Nothobranchius furzeri: one gene and its partners. The protein of the gene in region 1 purifies or fractionates together with the protein of each later gene. This does not show direct contact. Links are inferred from orthologs where the notes say so. Each region holds a gene or a part of one and is shown in the gene's direction. Other genes may lie near its edges.

What was found.
Region 2: the proteins of cacybp (region 1) and otud5a purify together in Homo sapiens (affinity purification with mass spectrometry; 4 studies listed by BioGRID and IntAct, with this or other methods). This does not show direct contact. The link is inferred for Nothobranchius furzeri from reciprocal best matches to the Homo sapiens genes CACYBP and OTUD5.
Region 3: the proteins of cacybp (region 1) and skp1 purify together in Homo sapiens (affinity purification with western blotting; 6 studies listed by BioGRID, with this or other methods). This does not show direct contact. The link is inferred for Nothobranchius furzeri from reciprocal best matches to the Homo sapiens genes CACYBP and SKP1.
Region 4: the proteins of cacybp (region 1) and rnf41 purify together in Homo sapiens (affinity purification with mass spectrometry; 4 studies listed by BioGRID and IntAct, with this or other methods). This does not show direct contact. The link is inferred for Nothobranchius furzeri from reciprocal best matches to the Homo sapiens genes CACYBP and RNF41.

Annotation. Positions count from the first base shown.
Region 1 is NC_091751.1:54,233,524-54,237,517, forward strand, and holds part of cacybp (calcyclin-binding protein), read left to right. Parts: intron 1-3,278; coding exon 3,279-3,489; intron 3,490-3,581; coding exon 3,582-3,678; intron 3,679-3,764; coding exon 3,765-3,864; intron 3,865-3,994. UniProt on the Homo sapiens protein: May be involved in calcium-dependent ubiquitination and subsequent proteasomal degradation of target proteins. Probably serves as a molecular bridge in ubiquitin E3 complexes. Participates in the ubiquitin-mediated degradation of beta-catenin (CTNNB1).
Region 2 is NC_091755.1:47,032,703-47,037,373, forward strand, and holds the start of otud5a (OTU domain-containing protein 5-A), read left to right. Parts: upstream 1-1,579; 5' UTR 1,580-1,804; coding exon 1,805-2,392; intron 2,393-4,671. UniProt on the Homo sapiens protein: Deubiquitinating enzyme that functions as a negative regulator of the innate immune system. Has peptidase activity towards 'Lys-48'- and 'Lys-63'-linked polyubiquitin chains. Can also cleave 'Lys-11'-linked ubiquitin chains (in vitro).
Region 3 is NC_091750.1:60,005,576-60,009,505, reverse strand, and holds the end of skp1 (S-phase kinase-associated protein 1), read left to right. Parts: coding exon 1-68; intron 69-2,277; coding exon 2,278-2,418; intron 2,419-2,490; coding exon 2,491-2,526; 3' UTR 2,527-3,053; downstream 3,054-3,930. UniProt on the Homo sapiens protein: Essential component of the SCF (SKP1-CUL1-F-box protein) ubiquitin ligase complex, which mediates the ubiquitination of proteins involved in cell cycle progression, signal transduction and transcription.
Region 4 is NC_091755.1:37,149,127-37,153,859, reverse strand, and holds the start of rnf41 (E3 ubiquitin-protein ligase NRDP1), read left to right. Parts: upstream 1-1,533; 5' UTR 1,534-1,658; intron 1,659-2,377; 5' UTR 2,378-2,473; intron 2,474-4,464; 5' UTR 4,465-4,484; coding exon 4,485-4,574; intron 4,575-4,720; coding exon 4,721-4,733. Other genes in the region: uncharacterized protein, read right to left, coding at 1-640. UniProt on the Homo sapiens protein: Acts as E3 ubiquitin-protein ligase and regulates the degradation of target proteins. Polyubiquitinates MYD88. Negatively regulates MYD88-dependent production of pro-inflammatory cytokines.

The DNA of each region.
Region 1 (3,994 bases):
TAAAAGCACCTTTCAGGTCACCCAAGGTCACTTTACAGAATAAGAACCATAAATCAAACTTAGACATTTCAATACTTGGTTGCAAGTCCTTTGCAGTCAATTACAGCCTGAAGTCTGGAACACATAGATGTCACCAGACGTTGGGTTTCATCCCTGGTGATGCTCTGCCAGGCTTCTACTGCAACAGTCTTCAGTTCCTGCTTGTTCCTGGGGCATTTTCCCTTCAGTTTTGTCTTCAGCAAGTGAAATATTCAGCTGAATATGAGCAGATAATATTGCCTGACACACTTGAGAATTCATTGTGCTTTTTTTGTCAGCAGTTATCAATAAATACAAGAGAACCAGTTCCACTGGCAGCCATACATGCCCACGTCATGACTCTTCCAGCACCATGCTTCACTGATGAGGTGGTACGCTTGGGATCATGAGCAGTTCCTTTCCGTCTCCATACTCTTCTCTTCCCATCACTCTGGTACAAGTTGATCTTGGCCTCATCTGTCCATAGGATGTTGTTCCAGAACTGTGAAGGCTTTTTTAGATGTTGTTTGGCAAACTCTAATCTGGCCTTCCTGTTTTTGGGGCTCACCAACGGTTTACATCTTGTGGTGAACCCTCTGTATTCACACTGGTGGAGTCTTCTCTTGATTGTTGACTTTGACACAGATACACCTACCTCCTGGAGAGCATTATTGATCTGGCCAACTGTTGTGAAGGGTGTTTTCTTCACCAGGGAAAGGATTCTTCGGTCATCAACCACAGTTATTTTCCGTGGTCTTCCAGGTATTTTGGTGTTGCTGAGCTCACCGGTGTGTTCCTTCTTTTTGAGAATGTTCCAAACTTGTTTTGGCCACGCCTAATGTTTTTGCTATCTCTCTGATAGGTTTCTTTTGTTTTTTCAGCCTAATGATGGCTTGCTTCACTGAGTTTAACAGCTTTTTGGATCTCATCTTGGATTCGTTGCTTTATTCCTCAACCCAAGTCCTCGGATCACGCATTTTAGCTAAAACACTAACGTCAACTTGCCTTGCATTGATTGTAGAGTTGTGGGTGATGATCATGCAGATGTGTCATGAGATTTGAAGGGTTGCTGCCTTTCACAGACACTTTTTCTGCACGTGCTGCAAACAGGATAGCTGTCTTCTAGCAAGTGTCCCTCGGCATTCTTCAAATATCCAAAAAATGCCCATACTTCCGACTTTGTCTTCTTTGAGGGATAATAAATGTCCTGAGCGCAGCCGTCTCCTCCTTTAACCATTATTTCAGCTTTAGCTTCAAGAAAGTTTTGGTTGTAAACAGTAAAGTGCGCATGTGCCGCCGGCAACTTCAGCAGATGATACGGTGGCTGGTAAGGGTCACTGCGCCTACACCGCAGCCACGGTAATCCACCAAGATAATATATATTTTTTTTAAAACTAGAGAGGTTATTATTATTGTCAACTTTTTTACCGGGGTTTACCGCTACACCGGTTACCGTGACAACCCTGGACTGTATGTAAAGGAGAGCTGAGCCATTAAGAGCTTCAAAAAATAAAAAATTCTGCATGGCATTTAAATGAGAGCCATTGCAGAGACTTTTTTTTCATTGCAGAGACTTAAGTCCAACCTCATCGTGCACTTGAAGCAGGATCACAAAACATTGCATGAGGATTTTTGGAGTGTGTGAACTTTAAACTTTAGACACTCGACTTGTAGCAGTTGGTCAATGAACAATATTGTGTTTTTTTTTCTTATGTCCCTGCTAAGGCCCGATCGATATGCTTTTTTGGGACCGATACCGATATAAAACTTTTAACAAAGGCCGATAGCAGATATAATGGCCGGTAAATCTCCCTCACAAAAAAAGAAATAAAAATTTTCTTAAGCTTAAACCCTTCATTCTCTGCCTTTTTGATGCTTACTTATTTTGCTATTACACACCAAAGAACGGTCTCAATAACTCACTAGGGTTTCCAAGTAATGCAAATAAGACTTATTTAGCAGATCTCAAAAACAACAGAACACACAAACTCAGTCACAGCATAAATCTAACATTCAAGTTTTTTCTTGTATACTGTGGTTTCCACAAATACATTTTAACTTAAAGGATTATTCCACCACTCAGTAAAATTGTGTCTTGTTAAGATTCCCCAGAGTTGGACAAGTCAGAAAAAGCATTTTATAACCAGCCCAATATGATCTGGCAGCAGTTGGTTTTCTTAGTTTAGCATAAAACAATGTAAGTGAATTCACATACACTGTAGCGTTTTTTATGTAGGTGAATGCAAGCCTTCCCTTCCATTGCTTAATGCTAAAACAACTGGTTACATAATGTTTTTTCTGACTTAGCTAACTCTGGGGAATCTAACAACATGCACAAGTTTAGGGACAGAAGATCCCTATAAGAATATTAAAATAATAAAAATACAGCAATAAATAAAACGTAATACTTGTGCTTTGTAACAAAGTAACACTCTGTGGAAGTTAACTTGGTGAACTTATTCACCCTGGACAGGAAATAATTGCACATAAGAAACATAAATAAGAATAAATTGAAAAAAAAAAAGTTCCAAAACAATAATTTGTGTTCAAAGGAGTGGAGCCACACAACATGAGTTCATAAAGCAGGCACCATCTGCTGGATAGGTAGCGCAATATCGGCCGTCTTTTTGGCCGATAGCCGATACTGTTAATGACCCCAATATCAGCCAATAATATCGGCCGGACGATATATCGGTCAGGCCCTAGTCCCTGCCCTCCACATTTTTGCAACCAAAGGTTGACTTTTCTTTTCTGTTTGAATAAAATCACTTGATCAAGTCTTTTATGCATTTCACGCTATGAAATAGGTAAAAATATGTGTGATTTGTGCTGATTTCATATCAGATTGATATCTGTATCGGTCAGTACTTAAGGCTGTATAATCTGTATCGTATCGGAAGTGAAAAAAGTTGTATCGGGACATCCCTGTTTTGCATGCTCAAAGACGTCTTACGTCTTAGCTGCTGCTACTAATTCTTTGTGATTAGCTGTATTTTGTTTGGCTTTGTGCTCTCAATGATTACGTAAAGTTGCGTTTACAGCTGCAGCAAAAAGTCTGAGCCATATGTCTGAGTCCTACATTTATTTCCTGGTATACATATTGTTGATTGGATAACAAGATAATCTTGATGTAAAAAATAGTTTTTTTTTAATGTGTTATTATAACTGTTAATACCCTTTACCGTGGTTTATACTGAAAATGTGTGTTCATCTGTTTCTCTGCTTTCACCACTACCTCCACCCTCCTTTTTGTCCAACAGATTAGTCAGCTGGAATCAGACCTGCAGGAGCTAGGTTCCCTCTTGGGGAAAGCAGAAAGGAAAAGGGTTCAGGATCTGCTAAAGGAGGAGCAGAAGAAGGTGGAGAAAGAACTCACAGCCAAACGGCTACAGCAGGAGCAACAAGCTAGGAGAGAAGCAGAACCTTCTTCAGCCTCCAAAGCAGCGTACACAGTGAAGATCACTAGCTATGGTAAAGAGCTTTCAAGATTAAAGGTTTATGAGGGCAGTAGCAAATTCTCCACATTGTTCCATTTTTAAAATTATATAAATATTTATTCACAGCATGGGATCAGTCTGACAAATTTGTCAAAATTTACCTGAATTTGAAAGAAGTGCAGAAAATACCTTCAGAAAATGTGGAGGTGAACTTCACAGAAAGGTAAACTTGTGAGTAACAAATAACGTTTGCTGTGCTTGTTCATCATATGAAATATTTTTTTTAAAATCACATGTTGTCTCTTGCAGATCGTTTTCGGTGCTGGTCAAGGATCTAGATGGCAAAAACCATCAGATGACTGTTCTCAACCTGTTGCATCCAATCAGTGTGCAGGACAGCTATAAAAAGGTGAATAAAGCTTTTCTACATTAAAAAGCAGCTGTACGTTACATTTGGCTCAATTTTTTATGAACAGCTATCTACGAAGTTATTTTCATCACTACCCTCCTGACACTGTCTTCCCTTTTTTACCCATTCC
Region 2 (4,671 bases), on another chromosome or scaffold:
GTTGTCACGTGTACAGAATGACCACTCTGCCATAAAGTCCTGTAACTCCTGCAGAGAGGCCACCAGCCTCTTGGTAGCCTCCTCACCAGATTCAGTTCCAAAAAGCTTTCTTTGTCTCCGAGGGACAATTAAGGACCCGGTTATTTTAGAGCAGAGTGAAGCAATCCTCTGCAGTCGCTTCCTGTTGTGGAGACGGATGGAGTGGAACCAGCAGATTATTGAGAAGGTGATGATACTCAGCAAAGCTATGGTAAAAAGTCTGTAGAACATCAGTTTCCTCCTTGCACTTCCACACAGAACAAGGGAGGGTCCCAGTTGCACCAAACACTGTCCCCTTCTTTATTGGAGACTTTACTGTGCTGCTCCTTGAGATTGAAATTTTCCGTAGTCTGTCCACAACTCTTTCCCTGAAATCTTTTAAATGTGGATTGCCACCCATGGTCCGTCTGATGTCAGCTCCAGCAACAGCTGGCGTTATTCACAGAGCAATACGATTGTAGTCCTTCAGAGGGGGTGATTATTTTCTCATTCAAAACTTTGACTTGAACTGCACTTTTATAGCGCCTTTCAGTGTCAGTGTATCATTCATCCGTTCACACACTGGTGGTGATGAGCTACAACATAGCCACAGCTGCCCTGGGGCACACTGACGGAGGCGAGGCTGCCAAACCCAGGTGTCACCGGTCCTTCCGACCGCCACCAGGGGGCGGGCGGGGTGGGGTTGGGGGGGGTGGGGGGTAATTTTCTTGCCCAAGGACACAACAGCAGGATTCTCTGGTGGGAGCCGGGATCGGACCTGCAACCTTCTGATTACTGGACAACCAACCCAACCTCTTGAGCTACTGCTGGCCCTACTTATCACTGAAAGAAAAATCATCACAAAGAGCAAAACAAATGACTTTTAATCAAGTGTAAATAACAGCATTCTGTTGTTGCTTAAAGAGCAAGTCACCCCCCCAAATAAACTTTTTTTTTGCTGATAAACTAAATAAACGAGTGTCTAATCGTGCTGCAGACACGTGTCGTCAATAATTTGGCACTTTAGTGCATCTTAGTTAAAATTTAAATATTCTGCCTAAAACTGGCAGTGTTGTGCCGTTGTCAGGTAAAAACTCTGCACTGTATTTCAATTTAAATCTGCCACCGCTATTGGCGAAGAGGTATGCTATGATGTAAACTGGTACATTATGATGTCACAATGCTGTCGTGAGCCTGTGTGTGTGTGTGTATTTGTTAGCAGCTCCGCCTTCTCGGTCTGCCAGGCAACAGCATTTGTTGCATTTTTCAAACATGAAGTGAGAGTGGAGTTAGACTCTGGTAGGGGTTGACTAAGCAAAAGTTTATTTGGGGGGTGAGTTGCTCTTTAAATGATTCGCAGCATCAGTTTTTATTGTTTTTTTGTTTTGTTTGTTTCGTAATTTTACACAAAAAGCTGAAAAGCGATAAGAATTAAAACAAAAATGTTTTGTAGAGTTTTATAGAATAAATGATTAATAATAAAAATAGTGATTCTGTGTGTTAAAGGTCAGGTTTACGTCATGACGCTGCCGGCCGGATGTTACGTCACAGCGCCCAGTCAGGCTGTGTTGATGTTTTGGAGAACGGGAAGAGGGAGACGCTTTTTGTTTTTGTTCAACTCCACCGTCGAATGTAAACAGAATTGTTGTTTCTTTGGTCGGTTTCGGTCCGTTAAGGGTCTTAACTCGGTGACTGGAGCCGAACCGCTCGTTCAGAAGGTGAATAGACCGACTAGTTTTATCCAGAACGGGGACTCGTCACCCTCTGACCGCCTCCCTGCTCCACCATGACGATCCTCCCCAAGAAGAAGCCCAGCTCTGGTGTCGGCGTCTCGGACCACGCCGATGACAGCGACCGTCGGAGCAGCTCCGACCCTCACCAACACCCACACCCGCACGCTGGGCGGACCGGAGCCCGACCCAGAGCCTCCCCTCCGCCGTGGTCTTACCAGACTGCTCCCCCCTCCGCCAGAGAGGACAGGCGGAGCATCGAGGCGAGCTCCCGGCCGCAGCAGGCCTCTCCGCCGCCCGTTGGCTCCGTGTCCCCGGTAGGGCCGGGAGATGGCAGAGACGGTAGCGGTGGAATGGTTACCGGCTCCCGCGGGGAGCTTGTTGTGCCTGCCGGTGTCGTTGGATGCGGCGGGTCGATAGGCGGTTGCTGCTCCGGGCCCGGGCTGAGCAAGAGGCGGCGGCAGGCAGGAACCTGCTCCGGTGGGGTGGTCGCTGCTCTGGCCGGGGGAGGCCAGCCGGGGGTGACCGGACCCGGAGGTGTAGGGTCCAGTCAGGATACGGAGGAAGGAGCAGGGAACAACAGCGAGGACGAGTACGAGAACGCCGCCCGGTTGCAGTTCATGGACCCGGCCACGGTGGAGCAGGTAGGGAGCTAACAGGCTAACGGGGATGCTAACGAGGCTAAACGGGAGGGTTCTGGAGGGTTTGAAGGCTTTTACACAACATTTAACTCCATAAAGAGACCCCACCGTGTCAGCAGTGTCGTGATTAACAAAAGTGTAATCATAAAGGAAACGCCGCTGTAGCGGTACAACACCAGTACTACACTGTTTTCACCACAACGGTCAGGTCAAAGTCTGACCCGCTTCCCAAAGGCTTCAGGTAACCATAGCAACGACTGGGATGCTGTAGTCACACAACAGGTAATAGGGGTGGGGATTTATGAGGGCTGGATGTGCAGGTGGGGGCAGCAGCAACAGTCAGTCCAGATGTGGTTTTAGTGCCTCCCAGCATCCAGATCCAGACCTGTGGTCCTGAATCTGGATCAGCACTTTTCTAGAATGTGGATTTTTTTTTACACCATCAGGTCTCTACTGACCTCGATCAGCAGGCCATTAGACGTAAGCAACATGTTTGAAACCTCAGTGTCATCTTCGATGAACACATGAATTTCGACAAACAGATCAATGCGGCGGTCAAGTCAAGTTTTTATCAACTTAGGACCTGGAAAAAGTCAGTCATGCCCTTATAAGCTCGCACATCGGTTACTGCAATGCCCTATCCAAGTCCTCCATCGCTCGTCTGCAGCTAGCCCAAAATACCGCAGCCCGTCTCCTCACTAACACACCTTGGGGCAGCCATATTACTCCCATTCGCTTAGAACTGCACTGGCTTCCTGTATTTTTCAGAACACAATTCAAATTCATAATGTTCACGAGCATCCATGGCCTCGGTCCTGCCTATCTCTCTGACTCCTTGTCCTTACGTCAGCTAACACGGTCCACTAACTCAGTCCCTCGACCTCGATACAAGCACTGGGGTGACCGCTCTTTTTCAGTCGTGACTCCAGCAGTCTGGAACAAACTCCCTGATGACCTGAGTTTGACTTTTGAGTTATCTTTGTTCAAGCGCAAGCTTAAAACCTACCTTTTCCAACAGGCTCTTCATCAGTAGCCATCCTCTTTAACTTCTGATGATAAAGACTCGCGGGTCTTATTTTGTTTCTGAACCAGGAACGGGCTTTTGGTCCTGATGCTGACAGCCTGGATGTTCCTTTTCCTCTTTGGACCAGAGCTCTTAGACCCCAGCTCTTGAAACAATACTCCAGAGTTCTGATCCAGTTGACCACATTTCTGCTGTTCTGGTCCAACCCAGAGGATTTGGTGCAGCCTCTGAATGGAGTGGTTGCTGATTAGAGATTGACAAATTGGTTTTTCTTTTGCTGATGCTGATATGTAGAGGTCCTGGTCAGCCGTATGGTAAAATGTCACTGATAACATCTAGACGTGGGCGGTGCTCACATTTTAATCCCACCTAGCTTCCTCCACATTTTACCACGGTGTGCGGTATTACTGGGACTAATTTAAAAATGATGACGTAAGCCTTCAAACTGTTGGTTTGGACCTTCACCGTTCAGAAACTCAATAACAAACACTAACAACATAACACACCTAATATTAACAACTTTAATAAAAAAACAAGCTTATAAAAAGATTTTTCACCTGTAAAACCTGCACGTTTACCTTTTTCGGCTTCAGCCCCCAACTGCTGAAAACTCGCTTGTGGCAGACGGCCGGTTACCTTTGGGCTAGTCGTGACATCTGGGGAAGGCTGGCTGCTTATTTCCACCAGAAAGGCCTGTAGTCGTGCCTTTTAATGACGGCTGCAGACAGAAATCTGCCTCTTCAGCTACGGCTCGCTGCTCTGCCGTGCCGACGGGGCGGGCGGCTTTCGCTGTCCTCTTTTGTTTGCACAAATGACCTCATAAGAGTTCACCAGAAGTTGTGGTTTTTTTAAGACTCCCGGTCAGCTGGTACGCGAGCTGCCATTTCTTCTCTCGGCGCTGTCATGTGATGACATCATGTTCATAAACTTTGTGGAACATCTCTAAAATGTCGACAAAACATTTTAAACTATTTAAGTAAAACCAAAAATTCAGCCATGCTTCTGTTTTATGCTTTAAATAACCTTTATTTATTTTTGTTTATTTTTTATCTCTGTCTCCTACGTGCACTGGTTTTTTTCATGACGGTATCGGAACTGACACCGATGCTATTGTTCCACACCGGCTGGATGCGATAACGCCGCCCAAGCCCGACAACATCAGGTTACGCAATCATTTCTGACGCAGAATCTGCTTTTGAACTCGGAGTTCAACCAAACGTTAAATCTCAACACTGTTCTCAGTAGGGATGCAACAATG
Region 3 (3,930 bases), on another chromosome or scaffold:
ACGACATTCCCGTCTGGGACCAGGAGTTCCTCAAAGTGGACCAAGGCACCTTGTTTGAACTCATTCTGGTAAATATGTTTCATTAAACATTATTCTTATTTTGCTGCTAAATGCGTTAGCTACATTGAAATTGATGCTTTTCCCGCACCCCTTAAACAGATTTTCACCCCTCAGCAGAATTCTTAACTCTTGAGGTTGAATCAACTGGAAAAAATGTCCTCTCTGTTTTTAGGTCATTATTAGAAGTTTGGGTCAGGCAAAACCAGAAAAGTTGTTGTTTTTGCAAATATTACACATAGTTTATAGTTCTGCTACAAATTCTGATTGGCAGCCGACCTCTTCGCCGCAGCTCTCCATAACACTCAGCCTAAAATGCGCTCACTGTAAACATTACTATAAATAAAATAAGTGTTTAAAAAGGCAACTTATTTTGTATTGTACAGCTATAATTATTCATGTGAACTGATTTGAAATGTAGTTTATAAGAGGAGCTTGGAGACGTTAGCGATCCACTTGTGTTTGGATTAGCTTTAGCACATCATTAGTTAAAACGTAAACACTTTCTTCAAACTGAGGCTCTTCAGGAAGCTGTCTACAAGAAGTAAGATAAAAACTGATGTGTTACACAGAAACACGTCAGAATGTCCCAAAGCCCCATGAATATGTTCTTCAAACGATATAAGTGCTTGTTTTCTCTTAACTCCGATCCAGATCTTTATTTACACCCGTTACTTCAAACGTCCTCGTTTGATGATTATTTTAAAAAAAATTTTTTTTGTCAAGTTTTGTGTAATTGGGTATTCTGTAGGGATGGACAATATAACGGTATCGGCTGATGTTAGCTATTTTTTAACATATCTGTTCAATAAAGAAAACCAGGCCAATATTAACAACCGATATTTTTCCATCTTGTCCCCATTTGTTTGCCTGTTTCAGAGGGTGATGTGTAATTTAGTCTTGTGAACAGTGAATGAAATCATTTCAGAACCATAAATGTGTGTGGTGTGTGTACATAATAATGTAAATCCAGCTTTAATAATTTATAATTTTCATTCTATACAAAATCTGCTGATTTTAGAAGCATTAATGCCAGTATATCGATATCGACCAATATCGGTATCGGCACAAAAAATTTCATATCGCCGATATATGATATCGGTGCATCACTAGTATTCTGTCTAGGGATGTCCCATTCCGATATCAGAAGCAATTCATTATCGGCCCAAAAACACTATTGGATTATATCGGACTGCATCATAAATCTCCAATATAAGCAGTTTGTTAAGGTTCACATTTTTGCGACCAGTGGTTTAAAAAAAGGGTCAAATTTTTTTTCATACTTACTGTTATTGGCTCTTGTTCTCCGATTGAGTAATATCACTTCATCAAGCCTTTCATACATTCCACACTACGGAATAGGTAAAAGTATGATTTGTGCTGGTATCGTATTGAAATCGGTGTCGTATCGGGACATCCCTAATTCTGTCTTTTTTGTGGTCTGATTTGATCACCAAAAACACAAATGTTGCTTAGCAACATCTAGTAAAAGAGACAGATGCTGATTTTAAGTTGTATAAAAAGTTCCTTGTTAATGAAGTGGAAGCAGATTTGGATAATGCAGGGTATCCGCAGGTCCTTAAAAAGTCTTACATTTACTTTTCCAAATTTAAGGCCTTGAAAATCCTTAAAAATGACAAATGATCCTTAAATACAGTTTCCAAAGGTCTTAAATTACCAAAGACCCAATAAACTAGATTATTTCATTTCTATGACATTTTCGTGAATTTCCAGTTAGTGTTCAGCATTTTTTGTGTACAATGTTGGCGTAAGCGGAACCGTACACATTCAGTTGGTTGTGAAAGGGGGCTAGTTTTAGATGAGCACATTAGCTGATTAAGCTAGTGGGAGCTTACGCCATGGAGAAGTGCAAGTTTAATGGTAATTGGATGGCTAATCCCACGTTCGCGATGTGGTTAGCACCGGTTCCAGGCAATAGCTGGAAATTATAGCAGAAATTGAATTTTAAAATATAGCTTAAATTTGGTCAAAGTGGCCTTAAAAAGGTCTTAAAAAGTCTTAAATTTGACTCCCTTAAACCTGCAGTTACCCTGTAATAGTTCTGTATTTAACATGCTAACGCTAACTGGCCCAGCTTTACTGATGTAAAACTTTTATTCATAGTTCCTATATTAGACATTAAAGTTACTTATTCATCAGAGGCATTTGTGCCATCTCACAGCATCTTCCACATCCGAATGTCATTTATTTTCTGTTCAGGCCGCCAACTATTTGGACATCAAAGGCCTGTTAGACGTCACTTGCAAGACGGTGGCCAATATGATCAAAGGCAAAACCCCAGAGGAGATCAGGAAGACGTTCAACATCAAAAACGATTTCACGGAGGAGGAGGAAGCCCAGGTAAAAAAAAAAAAAGTCCTCAAAAGTGATGCTCAAGGAAAACAAAGCTTTTAAACTGCTTTTTGTCCACAGGTACGCAAAGAGAACCAGTGGTGTGAAGAAAAGTAAAAGGGAAGATGCTGCCAACACTACCACACTGAAACGATCTGTAACTGGTTGCACTGGCGATGTTCATACTTGTTAATATTTTAGTATAATTACCATCCCCCAGCTTATTATTTCTGTGTACCAATAAAAGCATGAACATTTAATTCTGACCTGTATGGTGTCATTAATTTAAAGCTGAAACGCTTGTTACCGTTTCCACTCATGAATATAATTATATTCATGGTTTCATGGCTTTGTATTTCCCTCTAAAACATAAAAAGCTACATTTTTCGTATCCTTGTTCTTTTTTCTATGGCAATGTTTTCTTTTAGATAATTAAACAACCTTCACTTTTTTGCCGATGGAAACAGGAGGGTGAATTGTTTTTGCTCTGTAAATGTATCGGTTTTGTGAACTTGTGTATAAAAATGAGCAGTTTGAAGGCGGAACGATGTCCATCATGCAGAGCGAGTTCCAGATTCATGTTTTGACACTGGAAACTTTGAGGAAATCCACATTGAAGGAGTAAATAAAACCTGTTCAGAGAGCATGTGTTACATTTTCTTGTTTCTTTGGCTCTTTTTCTTTAAATTTACTTTGAAATCATCCTTAAAATTTTAAGTTTGCAGTCTTCAGAGATATTCCAAACACTTTTATTACATCAAACAAAAACAACACACCAGGAGTTCAAAGATACAAAGACATCTTAGAGGTGTGTGTGTGCCTCAAACCTGAATGCCCCGAATAGAAAAGCACAGATTTGTATTATAAGGGCACCCTCTGCTGGAGGAAGACAACAACTCAGCATACATTTTATCCACAGTTGGGAAGCTGCAAGCAGACAGTAAATTAAAGCCTTTTATATAAAACCCTCAGAAATGTAACAAAGTTTAGGCATGCACAGATATAGTTTGAATGCTGCTGCAGTAACACTTGACTCCAAAAAAACAAAAACAAAAAAACACATTTTTAGAAAAAAAAAACTTTTTAAAAAGTAATTTACCATTTTTTTCATAAAAAACATACAAAATTTTATTTATAATATAAAACTTTACAACACATAATATTATAGTACCCATTTGGTCTCAGATGAGTTTGCAGAATGTGTGGAATGGTCAAAGGAGAAACAAACATCCGACTAAAAATTTCACAAGTCATCGACAAAAATAGGAAAAACAAAACAACAAAAACAAAAAAGGTTGAAGCTGGAGATTAAAATCCTAAAAGTGCCTGAAAACAAGTGGTTTATTCTCTTAATTGAACTTTTTGTGACATTGGCAGCAAAAATAAAAACAAATTTCTCTAAAAATCTGCGGTTCTGCTGGGATGTTGTTGTTCTCGCATGATTTAGTGGTTTGGTTAGCATTAGTGATGCATCACGGCCGAGACGTAAGAGAGATTCGTGTCAGTTTTTAATCATTTTGT
Region 4 (4,733 bases), on another chromosome or scaffold:
TGACCCTCTCATTCATCCGTGCTGCCATCACATTGTCCTCTGTGGCAGTGTCCACACGCAGTTTTTCAGTTTCTTCATAACTTCTCAGTTTACTTTTAAATTCTGAAAAAGTCATGTCATCATCACTTTGTGTCACATGGATTCTAAAAGGCGTAAATGAGTCAGGTAGACCTTTTAAAACCATTGCTATTAGCAGTCCATCGCTCAAAGTTTCACCTGCGGTTCTCAGCGCTGTAATGGCGGCCTCGGCTCTCAAAACATAATCCGTTACACTCTCGCCGCTCTTCTGCTGTAATGCAGTCAGTTCTGTATATAAGCTTATTATGCGGGGTTTTCCCTTCCCGGCATAGTGTTCTCTCAAGATAATTAGAGCTTTCCGCCCGTCGTCAGCTGCGTCTCTCATCACCAGTGAAAGGCTCTTATCATCCAGGAATTGTATAAGTTCGGCATATGCCTCTGCGTTCTTTGAATCATATTCCTCATCATCGTCATCGTCTTTCGGTTTTAATATAATGTCTTTCAAACCTTGTAGCCGGAGGTGTCCGAGAAACTTTGTTTCCCACAGTTCATATTTATCCTCGTCTCCGTCAAATACCAGTCTTGACCAGCGGGTACTGGCTTCCACTGTCTTCCGACTCATAGTGTCCGACACACGTCGTAGCTCTCACTCGACTCACCGGACTTGCTGTTGGTCGGTTCTGTGCTCCTCACACGCTAGCAGGATGCTTTCCCAGCTGTCCTGATTAGCTTGGTGCGCAGCGGAAGCGTGCTGGGCCCATAACCTGTTAGCAGAGTTTCGTTTACCCAGCGGTTGGTCCAAGACTCCAAAATGAATCTCCAGGATTAAAAAAAGGAGGAAATAAATCCATAAACAGAGCGTCTGTTTCACGGGCCTTCACTGGTGGTAGCACACACTGATTGCGGCCACTAAAACACCAATGCTCCCTTTTATTGGTCAATTTACGAGGTCAAAGTTTAACTTCCTCTACAGGTACTTTTCAGTATAAAAGCATACATGTATATACACACACACACATTCTTATTTACAAATTTACACAGATGCATAACATAACAGAGCATAACAGAGCACATTAGACTGATGCTTAACAATTATTTCACAAAATTGATCCATTTGAGGCTTTTTTATTGGATGAAATCATAATGGAGGAAATGTATTGTCTGAGCTCTTGAAAACAAACAAACTTTTCAACATGGCATTTAGCTTACATTATTATAATATTAATGTGTTTTTTTAATCTCAATGTCATTTCTGAGGAACCCAAATAACACATTTCTCCATTATAACTTGAAGTCCGGATTAATGTTTATACAATTATTTACCCAAAACTGATTAACAAACAGACAATTAAAAAAAGAATGTACAAAGAAACAGCAGTCCGTTATGAAAGTTTTAACCGGATAAGGACATTTTCGACAGTGTTAGTGATTAACATTGTTTCGGTAAGAGAGACATTTTTCATTATAAAATTCACTTTTGGGATTTCTGCAGTTTTGCGTGATGACGTTTCCCCTCGTGTCGATTGAGACGTAGACTTGTATGACGTAGCACCAAGACGTGATTAGCAAGGGGCTAGTGTTGGTACGACGTCTGAAAACAGCCTGAATTGTGAAAAGGATCTATTTTACTCAATGTCTGAGTAAGTATATCAGTCAGCTGTTATATCTTGAGCAGTGCAGCTGACTGTAAACAGCTATTGGTGTGTGAAGTTGTCTCTAACGGAGGTCAGTCTGGTTAGCTTATAGCTAATGTCCAAAGGAAACCAACGACAGCGTAGCCGCTAGCTGGGCTAGCTAACGTTACATATTCAGAAATCGTGACAGTCAAACTGTGCTGCTGTACTTTGTAAACCATTAAGATATTTTTCTCTTTGACGCATGTTTACGTTATTAAAAATCAAGTTTTTACGATTTAGTTTAAAGTGTTATTATATGCGTGAAGATAACATTGAGAAACCTCGATGCTCAGCTAAGTTTTGTGCTCCTTGCTCTGAAATATGATGGAAACATGTTGATCTCAAAGCTGTTTCTTTTCATTTTTTGGAATCATTCATTTGTTAACCAGGACAGTAGATAAATATGTTTATTGTAAAATCACGTTGAAAAGTCAGCCTGAGGATGTGAATATGTATGAAAATGGCTACGCTCAATTTAAAGTTCAAATTCTTTATCCTCCAAAAAAACTGTCGGTATGGTAAATTTTTTTAGAAAGTACTTAATCTCAGATTTCAGCTAGTTAAACTCATTTGAGTACATTGTGTATACGTGATATGGGATTTAATGTTCTTGCATATGTGGTTTACAATCATCAGACTAAAAGTTTTTTTTTAAATGCAATAATTTTTTCCTTTTTATTCAGGCAGGGTCTGTGTCTTTTTAGGCAGGCAGAGCATTTCTGCCAGATGTGAGGAATCGAGGAGCTGAATGGAAATATTTGAGGCAGTTTGTGTTTGAGGTAAACAAGATGTTCTAACCAGAACTGTAAATTATTATTTTGACAAAATGTCAATCATTTTTTGATAGTAATTATTCATAGATAGTGTAAAAAACCCTTCTCATCTTAGTTTTAGCCAGGTTTGTTTCACAGTACTGGTATTTAGTAGCGTAGCAAGTGTATAAATGTAAATGTAAAAAAACAACCACACACACATATATACAAACAGTGAGCTAAAGAATTAGTTACTGTACTATATTACATTATCTTTCTGAGCACTCCTTTTCTATGGCCGTCTCCAAGTTTAGGTCCTTCACCACCACCCTTACCCATGGTGTCCCACAAGGTTCTCTGCTCTTCCTCCTCTATCTGCTTCCTCTTCAGCACATCCTGAGCTCCTTCAAAGGAATATCCTACCATCTTTATGCAGATGACATCCAACTGTACATCTCCTTTAAGCCCCATGAGATGTCTAAGCTGCAGCTGTTACACACCTGCTTAGACTCTATCAAAACCTGGATGGCTGGGAGCTTTCTTCAGCTGAATGAAGATAAGACTGAGATCCTCATCTGTGCCCCAGACAAGCTGGTTCCCAAAGTCAGAGACTCTCTTGGTCAGCTTGCTTCCCACACCAAACCTTCTGTCAGGAATCTTGGCGTGACCTTTGACCCAGCTCTCACCCTGGATTCTCATGTCATTTCTCTTGTTTGCTCTTCCTTCTTCCATCTCAGGAACGTTGCTAAGCTGAGTCCCATTCTGTCCCGCTCTGAACTTGAGACAGTTCTCCACTCCTTCATCTCCTCATGCTTAGACTACTGTAACTCTCTTTTCACGTGTCTGAGCAGAACCTCCCTGAACCGTCTACAGGTGGTTCGGAATGCCTGTGCTCGGCTTCTGACCAAGTCCTCCAAACACACCCACATCACTCCGCTTCTCCTCCAGCTTCACTGGCTGCCAGTCAACTTCAGGGTTCATTTCAAGATCCTGGTTCTGGTCTATAGGGCCTTACATGGACAAGCACCATCTTACATTGGTGATCTTCTTAGTCCCTACACCCCCAGCAGGTCCCTGAGGTCCGGTGATCAAAGCCTACTGGTTGTGCAGCACCAGACTAAAGACCAAAGGTGACAGATCATTTGCTGCTGTGGCCCCCAGACTCTGGAACTCTCTCCCCCTGAGCCTGAGATCAGTGGACTCAGTGGTCTCCTTTAAAAAGCAGCTGAAGACTCACCTGTTCAAGCTGGCTTTTGTATGACCTTCTTCACCTCTCTCTTTTTGTTCTGCTCTCCCCACCTATTCCACCTTCCTCAGGATCCACTGATTTCCCTCTTTCCTGTTCACTCTCTCTCTTTCTTAACATTTTTTAATTACAATTGCCCATTTTTTTTGCTCATTTAAAATATATTTTTAACCATTTTCTAAATTCTTTTTTATATTTTTTCATTTTTTGTTTTTGTGAAGCGCCTCGTGATTTTTATCTTGAGAAGCGCTATCGAAATGATATTTTCTTCCTCTTCATAATAAACAACATGATGAAACATGTCACCTTCTTGTGTTGAAATCTGTGTAAAATACTTTCGGTTTGGGGGGGGGGGGTGAGATTAAATAATTCAGCATCTCAGAAGCCCTTTTACAATACACACCGCCTTAATCTTATAAAAAGGACACGATTGCACCACATTACCGCCACAGTCTGACCACTTATGAACAACCTAAGGCTCCCTGATGCTGCCACGGCATTGCGGCAAATTAATGGCATTGTTTTGTAAAAATGGCTAGAGTGATAATAGAAACATTTGCTCATCAGGTTGCAGTACAAGCATTGCCAAGTATCTCCATTTCTGCTTTCTGAAAGGCATCTGGGTCATCCATTACAATACGATTTGGGACAATCACATTCCTCCTTTACATTATTTTGTTGACAAAGAAATTTTTAATTACATTAAAACAGCTAATATACCTACTATGTGTAGGTGGTTTATATTTAATCTTTTTTAAATTGTGTTGTTCAGGAGGTTGTAGGTTGTGTACCATGGGGTACGACGTTACGAGGTTCCAGGGTGAGGTAGATGAAGACCTGCTGTGTCCAATATGTAGTGGAGTGCTTGAAGAACCAGTCCAGGTAAGTCAACCACATGTATAAATAATAAAATCTGCTCGTGTTCAGATCGTTATATAGTTTGGTCCCAAGTATGAAATCTGTTCTACCAAAGTTTGTTGTTGCACATCCTAATTATACTTTTTTTTTTGGGTTTGTTTTAATTTTAGGCTCCACATTGTG